Linked DNA regions of Cricetulus griseus. The protein of the gene in region 3 purifies or fractionates together with the protein of the main gene of each other region. This does not show direct contact. Links are inferred from orthologs where the notes say so. Each region holds a gene or a part of one and is shown on either strand. Other genes may lie near its edges. The genes, in order: Nup133, Nup37 and Nup85.

Region 1 (3,655 bases), on a different chromosome or scaffold from region 3:
AGTATATTTATCTAATGAGCCATCTCATAGCCTCTCAAATAAGTTCTCATAGATATGGTAATTAGCCTTATTTAACCTTTCCTGTTTTATGTGTATCTTGCACTTTGTGAATATATATATATATATATATATATATATATATATATATATATTGATTTCTTCTTCCCAGGTATGTCTAGGTTTGTGTCGAATTGACAGAAATCTCACCTGCACACCTCCTATTCTCTCACATCATTGGAATGGTATTGTCTTACTTCTAATACTCCAAATGCAGGTCACTGTACTTGGTCAATTACAATTTTTAAAATTACAAACATTTTATATAAAAGTCATTAATCTTTTTCTTTTTTCTTTTTTTCCCTTCTAATGAAAATTCAAATCCTGGGATCGAGGAAGATAGTAAAATGAGTAGGCTTCTAGGAACCTGTGTGAAAAGCCAGACCTGCAGCGCACACATATAATGTCATACTTGAAAGGCAGAGATAGGCAGATCCCTGGAGCTCACTGGACAGCCAGCCTTAGTCTACGAGCTTCAAGTTCAGTGAGAGCTACTGCCTCATAAAAGAAATCAGAGAGTAACTGATGAAGACACTAAACACCTCTGGCCTGCTTACACACATATGTGCATGTACAAAATGGGAACCCATAACACAAAACTCAGATTATGGGTAAAAACAGTGCAAATTAAAGTTGTGCTGGTGACAGGGTGCTAAGTGAATACACAGTTGTTATGGAGCGGTATTTTCTCAGTCTCCCTTTCCAGTCTGCTTGAGATTTCCATGTGTATTGCTTTGGCACTGATCCCAGGTAGTTAGGCTTACTAGCATGTCTTCTTTCAGACCCCTTGGAGAAGAAATGAGTTTGGTATTTGCTGAGCTACTTCAAGGGCCTCTTGTGATTTTCTTGTTTTGTTTATTGTAGGCTCATACAACGCTGCTCGGTTTGGCAAATATGGAAACTCGTTACTTCGCAAAGAAAAAAACCCTTCTTGGCTTGAGTAAACTGGCTGCATTAGCTTCAGACCTTTCAGAGGACACGCTGCAAGAGAAAATTGAAGGTAAAAGGAAATCAGAATGAGAAGGCACACAAGTCAGCTGCACTATGACCATCTATGTAGTCATTGCAGTTTAGTAGGAATGCTGTTACTTATCTTACTCAGCATCCATACTTTATCATTCAGACATGTAATCGGAATCATTAATACCATTCTTACTCTGCTGAGTCAGAAATAGAGGATCCCTGGGGCTTGCTCTCCAACCCGCCTAGCCAAATTAGTGAGCTCCAGTTTTTTTTTTGTTTTGTTTTTTTAAAAGACCCTGTCTAAAAAAAATAAGGCAGAGAACAATTGAAAAAGACATCCAATGTCAACCTCTGGCTTCTACACACATACAAAAGCTAAACCATTGAGTTGAGAGTTAGTACACAGACCTCTCAGATAAGATAAGCCCATGTTTCACACTTCTGAAGTGCTGTGACATGGTTTTGTATGTCATATATTCCTTTGCCAGTGTGAAGTATCTCACCACAAGGAAACAGGACATTGTACACGTATGTCAGCCTGGCCTCTTTATAGTTAGTAATGTGAGGACAAAAAGGTAAACTATTAGAAGAAAGGAGCTGAGGCATATGGTGACCAAATTAGCATGATCATGAGGCCTTTGATTGGATCTTTGGGCATCCTTCAACCAAACAACTGTGATGAATATTTTGGAAACAACTAGGAAAACTTGAACTTTTTTTTTTTTTTTTTTTTTCTTTCTTGAAATTGAGTCTCACTATGAAGCCCAGGCTGGCCTTGAACTTATAGCCCTTCCTCACCAGCCTCCTGAATGCTATAAATGAACATATTTAAGATTAGATGATATTACCATAAGCTTCTTAACTTCCATAGGCTTAATAATGCTGTTTTTTGATTAGATGTCCTTATTCTGTTTTTTGTTTTGTTTTGTTTTGTTTTTTCAAGACAGGGTTTTTCTGTGTAGCCCTGGCTGTCCAGAAACTCATTCTGTAGACCAGGCTGGCCTTAAACTCAAGAGCTTCATCTGCCTCTGACTCAAATTTGGTATTAAAGGCATGTCCGTATTCTTAGAAATACATACTGAAGATACTGAAGTACTCAGAATTTAAATGCCTTAATACCTGCAGATTTCCTCTGATAGAAGGGGGGTGGGGGAGCCAGGCATGGTGGCATATACCTGTGATCACTGCACCTTGTAGGCTAAAGCAGAACTGGAGTTTTAAGGCCAGTCATGGCTACATAATAAACTGAAGGCCAGCCTGGGCTATGTGAGACCTGTCTCCAAAAGAAAAAAGAAAAAAAATTGAAAGAGCTAGATGTGGTTGTGCATGACTTTAATCCTAGCACTCAGGAGGTAGAAGATGGCAGATCTAGGTCTCAAAATTAAATAAATTTTGGTTATATGAGTAATTCCTATGGAAAATTTTAAATTATGGGGGAGGAAGATTTTGTATTTGGTTGGAGGTTCCACCTCCTGAAGTAACAACTGTGAATTTTGGTTTCCTTTGCTCACTGGCAGTTTGTGGAACACTGTTGCTGTGTGAGTAGAAATGCTGTGCTTCTGTCTATTGTGGCTGTTGTGGACAGACAGCAGTTCATCCCCGCTTCTCCAGCAGCCCAGTACATCAGGACAGAGAATCAGAGCAGGAGCCTGGAACCAATGGGGTGTTCTTATCCATTAATAACTGGGTGCCCATATACACAGGTTTTGTTTTTCTTCTGATATATTGTGGTTTCTGAATGATACTGCCATGCTCTTTCACTGAGCTGCTCTAAAGTAGGGCCTGCAGCTTGGGCTCAGACCTCCTGAAGTACATTTCTCTCTCCATAGCTGCTTTCTGCTGCTGTGGTCATGTATACACATTGGATTAAACAGTAAATATGTTGTCAGCAGTAAAGAATAAATGTGGAGACTCTGGGGTAGCAATGAATTGCCTTTAGAGTTGTTGGTTTTTAATCTGATTTGATTGATGAAAACAGAAGTGAAAATGTCATCATTGTCTGTCCTTGATCAACAGCAATGGCTGAGCAAGAGCGCTTCCTGCTGCACCAGGAGACGCTGCCAGAGCAGCTGCTGACCGAGAGACAGCTGAGTCTTAGTGCAATGCCTGTGTTGACTGCACCACAGCTCATCAGTGTAAGTGTTGTATATGTTTCCACATTCAGATCAAGCCTGAGTTTTCTAGGCCATACTGTGGAGCTCTCAACAGTATCCTTTTCCTCCTCCTACCTGCCAGAGACCTTTCCCCTAGAACAGCTATTAGAAGCACAAAGAATTAGCAGGATGCAGCTCTCCTGGCCCTTCAGGTACTCATTCAGGAGACTAGTAGGAAACCTGGTAGTTTGCCTTCTCAGAATAGGAATGTGTGCTATGAGGTTAACTATCCTTCTAGAATGTTACACTAAGACTCTTGTTAGCAAAGGTATGTTTGAGGAACTAAGATGCAGAGGCTTCGGGTACTGTCTTCACCTGTTTGCTGGCAACCAAATGATCCAAGGCAAGACCAGAGCATCTAGGTTGCATCAGATGAGCAGCTGGTGTTGTATGCATACTACCTTCCTCCTCTTTCTCCTCCTCCTCCTCCTCTTCCTCCTCCACCTCCTCCTCCTCCTCCTCCTCCTCTGCTCTAACTGTAG
Region 2 (3,655 bases), on a different chromosome or scaffold from region 3:
TGCTTATTATTTAGGTCCCTATACAAATGGGTTAGTAAATACTTGGGACCCTATGTTTTATGACCACAAACCTTTCATATTCCTGACAAGGAAATTATGCAGGCAGTACATAAACACAATAGCATATAACTGTAACTATACCCTTTAAAATGTAAGTTATATAAAGACAACATATTTAAGAAGTAGCTAGTGGATTTACTTTCAATGTGAAGTACAACATATGTAGTAGCTATATAGATATATGTGCATTAATAAATGTGAATGGTTTTGAAAGACATCATCAAACATTGAAACTGCAAAGCGCATACAGTGAACTTTTGTTCAGAGCAATGTTAAAGCAAACCAAGCAAATGGCACTTCCCTGACTCCCTCATTTCATACTGTACTCCTCCGCTCATTTCTACCTACACCATTGTTCTCTATTTCAATTAGTTTTGATATTCTACAGCTTTGAGCATTGTTATGTTATACTTACCTATCCACTCTAGACTGGGAAAGGAGGCCATGGGGACACACATCATATTGAAAAGTATCCACTGAGAACTTTATATATATCCTTTAGGATTTGTCAAAACATTAAAGTTTCCCTCCTAGGCAGCACATGAGATTCACAGTTCATTAAATAAACACTAACTTAATTATCCTACTTTGATCTAGTGGTAAATATAGGCTTATAAATATGCAGAACCAAAAGAAGAGGGCAAAGAGGTACTCAGGAACCAGTAAGGGCAATGCCTGTTAATTGTATGAAAACTTAATTTAGTGGTTTTGGAATATTTGTGCCATGTCTACAATTTAAATGAAATACATCTCATTTATGATATTTCATGGGGCCTATACAGATTACAATTTCCTAATTTTAAAATGTTTATTAAAATAAAATGACAATTCACAAATGTGGCTGTAACACATACAACATACCTGCAGGTGTGGTCATCACTTACACTTGCAATTTCATGGCCTTCCTTGGGATGGAACACCAAGTCATTAATGAAATCTGAATGACCCTCCAAAACCTGGAGGAGAAAGAGATCAGTAAGGAAGCACGGCCACAATCCATACTATCTATCTCTATCTAATATTTTCACTTCATAATTTTCCCTCCCTCCCTCCCTCCCTCCCTCCCTCCCTCCCTCCCTCCCTCCCTCCCTCCTCCCTTCCTCTTTCCCTCCCTTTTTAAGGTTTCTTAAGAAAGGGTTTCTCTGTAGCTTTGGAAGTGGTTCTGGAACTAGCTCTGTAGACCAGGCTAGTCTCAAATTCACAGAGATCCACCTGCTTCTGCCTCCCAATTGCTAGGATTTAAGGCGTGCTCCACCACCCAGAGTACTTTTCTCTATAAATATATTTTTAAAAAGCTGCCATTTTAAAAGTATGATTTATATAACCACTTTCCTAGAAGGTTATCTTGGAAAGAAGTCAATCATTCAACACAGTCTTTCTTTTCTAGTATGTATTTCTTATAGAAACATACTATTTTTTTTTAACTAAATTGGTTCTCATAGCACCTCCATGCTCAGTTATTACATAAAGTTCAAATAAAAACTGAAGTTGTGAAAACATCTACTTAAAACTTTCCCACCTTTATTGAGTTCTCATTAAATTAATTATATATTTAAGGACATACACACTGTAAATGATTATAGCAACAAAGCCAATCAAGCCATCATAAGTTTTTATGTTCACTTACTTTACTTATGTGTATTGTAAGAACACCTAGGACCTAATCCCTTAGCAAACTTTAAGAAGAGTATTAACTTTTGTAATTATCAGTGCATATATCATGTTCTTACTCCCTTCACCATCACTCTGTAATCCTGCCTAGGCTATTCTGTACTTAATAATTGTCCCTTGAAGTTATATTTCATTTCATCCTTACCACTTCCATCTATAAACTCCCCTCTTACTTGCTGTTCCTAGCATCTGTAAGTGTTACATTTATTAACTAGCTTCTTCTAACAACCTAGTTACTAGGGTTTATAATAGTGTAAATGAACCCTAAATTGTGGACTTTAAAGAGATGGTGAATCATAATCGCCAGCTTTCCTGGATCTTGAGTTAACTAAGACACAGGCCATTGGACTGAAGGAAGACCTTCCCCCAGAGTGGCTGGCAGTAGATATAAGTGGTCCAGGAAGAACCATCATTGCCTGTCAGCCTGCCTTTACTGCTTACTGGTGTCCAGCCTGCTGCTGCTGCTGCTGCTATCCCTGTTCTTTACTGACATAAGAGTCCCCATATTATCTCACTGAGAATCTTTTAGGCCTTCAAGACTACTGGGACTGCTGAAGTGTAGAACTTCACTGAACAACAGCGTTTCCAGCCTCTTTACCACTGCTGGATGACCCTGCTCCTACTAGTAATGCCAGTCAATTTAATAAATCCACTTTTATAAAATATATTCATTATACTGCTTTTGTTCCTCTAGAGAATTTCTTACTAATCCAACAGCCATTAAGAAGTCATTTTAAATCATAAGTACAATTAAAAAAGCAAGGAAAATGAACAGACTTTTAACATTTCTACTTATTGTACTCGTCAATATACCTTATATTCATTTTTATCTTGAAGATCTGAAGTAAATAGTCTAATCTTCATATCAGCAGCTGAGGTACAAAATCTGAAGGAAAAAAAAGCAAACAAATCCATTTTTAGCTTTTGTAAATTGAAGTCCTTCCTCTATGCCACCTTTGCCTCTAAGTCATCAAACCTTATCAAAACTCATGATGCTTTTTGGGATTGGTGGTGGTAGGGGCAGGAGTTATTGCAGTATGCACTAGAAAGGTTACATCCATTAAAGAAAGGAGCAGATAAATGCAATGTTTTATTCTGGAACACACAAAATGTTAGTACGTTCTGGATTTGTGTCTTATTAAACACAGAATTTCATATTAAGCTGGCATGGAATACCTTGCATTCTCTACCTTTCTCTGAATTTCTGCTACTTTAGGGGTTTACAAGTCATCTTTTAAGAAGAGCAAAGATGATGAGCAATCTGCTCTCTGCTACTATGAAAGAAAAACAAGCAGGGAGCAAAGGAGCAGCAAGTCAGGAAGAGGGCAACCAAGCAAACAGCACATGCATTACCAACTAGGACTTTTTTTATGTGTAAACTAAAACTGGACAGTGAGAGATTCTAAGTCATACCTTAGCAATTTACAGAGCCCACTATGCAGTTGCAGTCACAAAGAAAATTCTATTTATTTCAGATACTCTAAGTAAAGCAAAAAATACAGCATATGACTATACTCATATACAATTATATATAAATCTGGGGTATCCAACTTCTTGGCTTCTTTCTGTCTTGAGGAAGACATTAAATATGTAAATATTAGTAAAAAGCTAATGAGTAAACAAGTCTGTGTATAACTTTTATGATATCTGCTGCCACAGACAAGCAAGAAGTCTTCACATAATAATCGTACTTACGAAGTACCTGCTTGCAGAGTCTTAAAGCCATCAAGCAGGTTCAAGTTTGTCACCATTCATAAAGAACATGGGCATATCTAGGTAACATAACATAATTTCCCATTTCTTATTATGAAAGAAAAAGGGCAACAGTAAACAAACAGGACAACTGACATTGTATTTTGAGAAACCATTGTGTCAATATTTGGTTTGATAGAAGGAGCTACAGTTCTCAGTGTATTATCAAGAT
Region 3 (2,940 bases):
ATGGTCCCCTCATACTCAGGTAAAAGAATGCAGAGACTCACCCAAGAATGTCAGTCGATCACTGAGCATCATGGCTGGCCCCAGGTTGTCAATGAGATCCAGATCAGAAAAGCAGCCTCTCTCACAGTAATCCCTGAGGAATCTGCAGGACCCAACCCAAAGGTTAGAGCAGCAGTACTAGGCCCTCCTCAAACTCCAACCTCCCAGCCAACTAGAAAACTGTACCCACCTGTCAGATACGAGTGTGGCAAAAGCAGCATCTTTGGCTCGGATGCTCCAAGAGAGGGCTGAGCCCAGACGATTATTGCGGACAGCCTTCATGGCCAAGATCTTACAGATGCTTCGAACTTTGCAGGAGAGAAGACAAAAGGCAAAGTCTTACATCTTATAATCCCTCCTGTGAAGAGCATCATTACAATCAAAAGTACTATGAACTCAATATACAGCTAAGTCAGAAGAACCAGAAACTTAATAGTATATTCTTTTGTTTTTTTTGCTTTTGAAGACAGGGTTTCCCTGTGTAGCCTTGGCTGTCCTGAGACTCACTCCGTAGCCCAAGCTAGCCTCAAACTAACAGAGATCCACCTGCCCCTGCCTCCTCCATGCTGGGACTTAAGGTGTACACCACCACCGCCCAGCTCATAGTTTATTCTTGCTGTCTTCTCTCTACCCAGTACCACAGACGACCCACCTACTAGCCTGGCTTTCTGAGTGTTTGTGCTTAGCAAAAAGTCTTGGTTCCCCCCACAAAACAATCCCACCATTATCTGTCTAGAGACCACAAAATCTACCTTCCTCCTTTCGGGTCTTGAACCCCATGAGCTCACGATATGGTTTCAGGGTTCACTTGCTTCCCAGCCAGCAGCAGTAGGAGGATGACGACAAAGCAACGGACACCTGTCCCAGTTGCACTCGCTGTGCTCCTGCCGGGCTGCCCCGCTGCTCTAGGCTTCCCTGTAGCAACCACCCACCTAGGACTCTCAGCTCTGAACACAGATCTCATCGTATGTGAGAACAAGCTGGGTCTGCTAAAAGGAGAAGGGCTGATTGTTCTAGGTTTGAAAGGGCACTCCCAGCCCACCTGTCCCTCCCTGACGGTGGGCATGTACCACACACCAGCTCTCTAGTGTGGCAGGGAAAGGTTAGCTGTCACCATGTTGGGGTGCCGTGCTCAGCCCAGGGATGCACTGACAAACCAGAGGGCAAGCTGGGAGAAGCTCACAATCACCTTGTTCGGTCATCTGCCGTTGCTCACAAATCCTCAGCACCTTCAGGGCTTTCTGCTCTGTGTTGAGAGGAATCCGCTCAATGTGCAGCTCCAAGGAAACTCGGCCCAGCTCCGGGCAGTAGTCAAAGTAATCCACCCCCAGCTGCCACAGGCTAAGGTCCAAGGAAGGCAGATGTTGAAAGGCTAGAGGGACTGCCCTATGGCTCTGGGCATTGCCACCTGAGGTTCATTGTCCCAAACCCTCAAAACCAGCCAAGAGAGGACAGTGAAGCACCACTGGCTTCCACAAGGTCAGTACCATTTGTGGGACTTCCTACCTGTGATGAGCAAACAGTCCTGAGGCATATTCCAGCAGAAGGAATTCTCTCATATTAGAACCAAAACTGGGAAACAAAAAACAAAAAAACAACACAGAATTGCAAGACTGCCCCTCAGGCTCCTGTAACCTAACCTCCTCCTGTGCATTCCACTGGCCCTCCCTCAAAGGCCTGGTGACGTAAGAAAGAGGGACAGTGCATTTGGCCAACTTACTAGAGGTTGTGTGACTGGAGGAGTCTGCAGTGATCCAAAAGGTCGGTGAGGTGAGCTACAAACCACCAGTTGCTCAAGGCAATGCTACAAATGCAGACACAAAAGGGAAAAGGAAGTCAGGGAAAGGACTGAATCCCATGACCGAGATGAGCAAGAAACCCACACATCTTAACGCTTTAAAAAGAGCACAGGACTGGACAGAGGAATGGCAGAGGGAAAGGGCCCTATGCCAAGCATAACAACCAGACTTTAATTCCGGGGACCCACACAATGAAGAGAACCAACTCTCAAAAGTTGTCCCTGGACCTCGACTGGGAACATGGCATGGGTATTCATGTATGTGCATCAAGCTCATAATTTAAATAAATAAATAAATAAATAAATAAATAAATAAATAGAGCCTCCTGCTGGTGGCACACACCTTTAATCCCAATGCTTGGGAAGCAAAGCAAGCAGATCTCTCTCAGTTAGAGACCAGCCTGATCTACATAGCAAGTTCCAGGACAGCCAGGGCTCCACACAGAGAAACCCGGTCTCAAAAACAAACACAAAACAAAATGTGTGTCTGTAATCCTCATACCTACTAAGTAGAGACAGAAGGGTCAAGAGTTCAAGGTTAGCCTTAACTATGTATCAAGTTTAACTTCTACCTGAACTACATGAAATAGGCTCCCCTCAAAATTAACATGGTAGCAGAAGGTAAATCCTTCCCATTGCCCAGATCTACAGTAACAAATCCAGGCCAGTGCTTCAAAGCAAGGCTGTCTACTGCCACTCCCAACTTCCTCCCTTCCCAGCAGGCTGCAAATCAATTCTCAGTCCAATACAAACAGCCAGACAGATGCCCAAAGACTAAACACAGTGTGGCGGCACACGCCTTTGATCCCAGCACTTGGGAGGCAGAGGCAGGTGGATCTCTGAGTTCAAAGCCAGCCTGGTCTTCAAAGAGAATCCCAGGACAATCTCCAAAACCTACAGAGAAACCCTGCCTAGAGAAACAAAACAAAACAAAAACACCCAACAAGACTACACACAGAGTCTCTATGAAAGTTTTCCTGTTTGAGACTATGTAGTCCTGGCCTGGCCTGGGACTCTCAGGTTCACAGCCCTCAGGCTGAGTGCCTCCCTTACTGCAATGATGAGCCTTAACTGAAGGAAGGAGTGTTCAACATAAATCAAAG

What was found.
Region 1: the proteins of Nup85 (region 3) and Nup133 purify together in Homo sapiens (affinity purification with mass spectrometry; 5 studies listed by BioGRID and IntAct, with this or other methods). This does not show direct contact. The link is inferred for Cricetulus griseus from reciprocal best matches to the Homo sapiens genes NUP85 and NUP133.
Region 2: the proteins of Nup85 (region 3) and Nup37 purify together in Homo sapiens (affinity purification with western blotting; 4 studies listed by BioGRID and IntAct, with this or other methods). This does not show direct contact. The link is inferred for Cricetulus griseus from reciprocal best matches to the Homo sapiens genes NUP85 and NUP37.

Annotation. Positions count from the first base shown.
Region 1 is NC_048596.1:200,589,262-200,592,916, reverse strand, and holds part of Nup133 (nuclear pore complex protein Nup133), read left to right. Parts: intron 1-921; coding exon 922-1,057; intron 1,058-3,036; coding exon 3,037-3,155; intron 3,156-3,655. UniProt on the Homo sapiens protein: Involved in poly(A)+ RNA transport. Involved in nephrogenesis.
Region 2 is NW_023276806.1:154,167,715-154,171,369, reverse strand, and holds part of Nup37 (nucleoporin Nup37), read right to left. Parts: intron 2,618-3,655; coding exon 2,545-2,617; intron 1,017-2,544; coding exon 922-1,016; intron 1-921. UniProt on the Homo sapiens protein: Component of the Nup107-160 subcomplex of the nuclear pore complex (NPC). The Nup107-160 subcomplex is required for the assembly of a functional NPC.
Region 3 is NC_048600.1:128,174,483-128,177,422, reverse strand, and holds part of Nup85 (nuclear pore complex protein Nup85), read right to left. Parts: intron 1,844-2,940; coding exon 1,760-1,843; intron 1,612-1,759; coding exon 1,546-1,611; intron 1,381-1,545; coding exon 1,229-1,380; intron 348-1,228; coding exon 230-347; intron 143-229; coding exon 42-142; intron 1-41. UniProt on the Homo sapiens protein: Essential component of the nuclear pore complex (NPC) that seems to be required for NPC assembly and maintenance. As part of the NPC Nup107-160 subcomplex plays a role in RNA export and in tethering NUP96/Nup98 and NUP153 to the nucleus.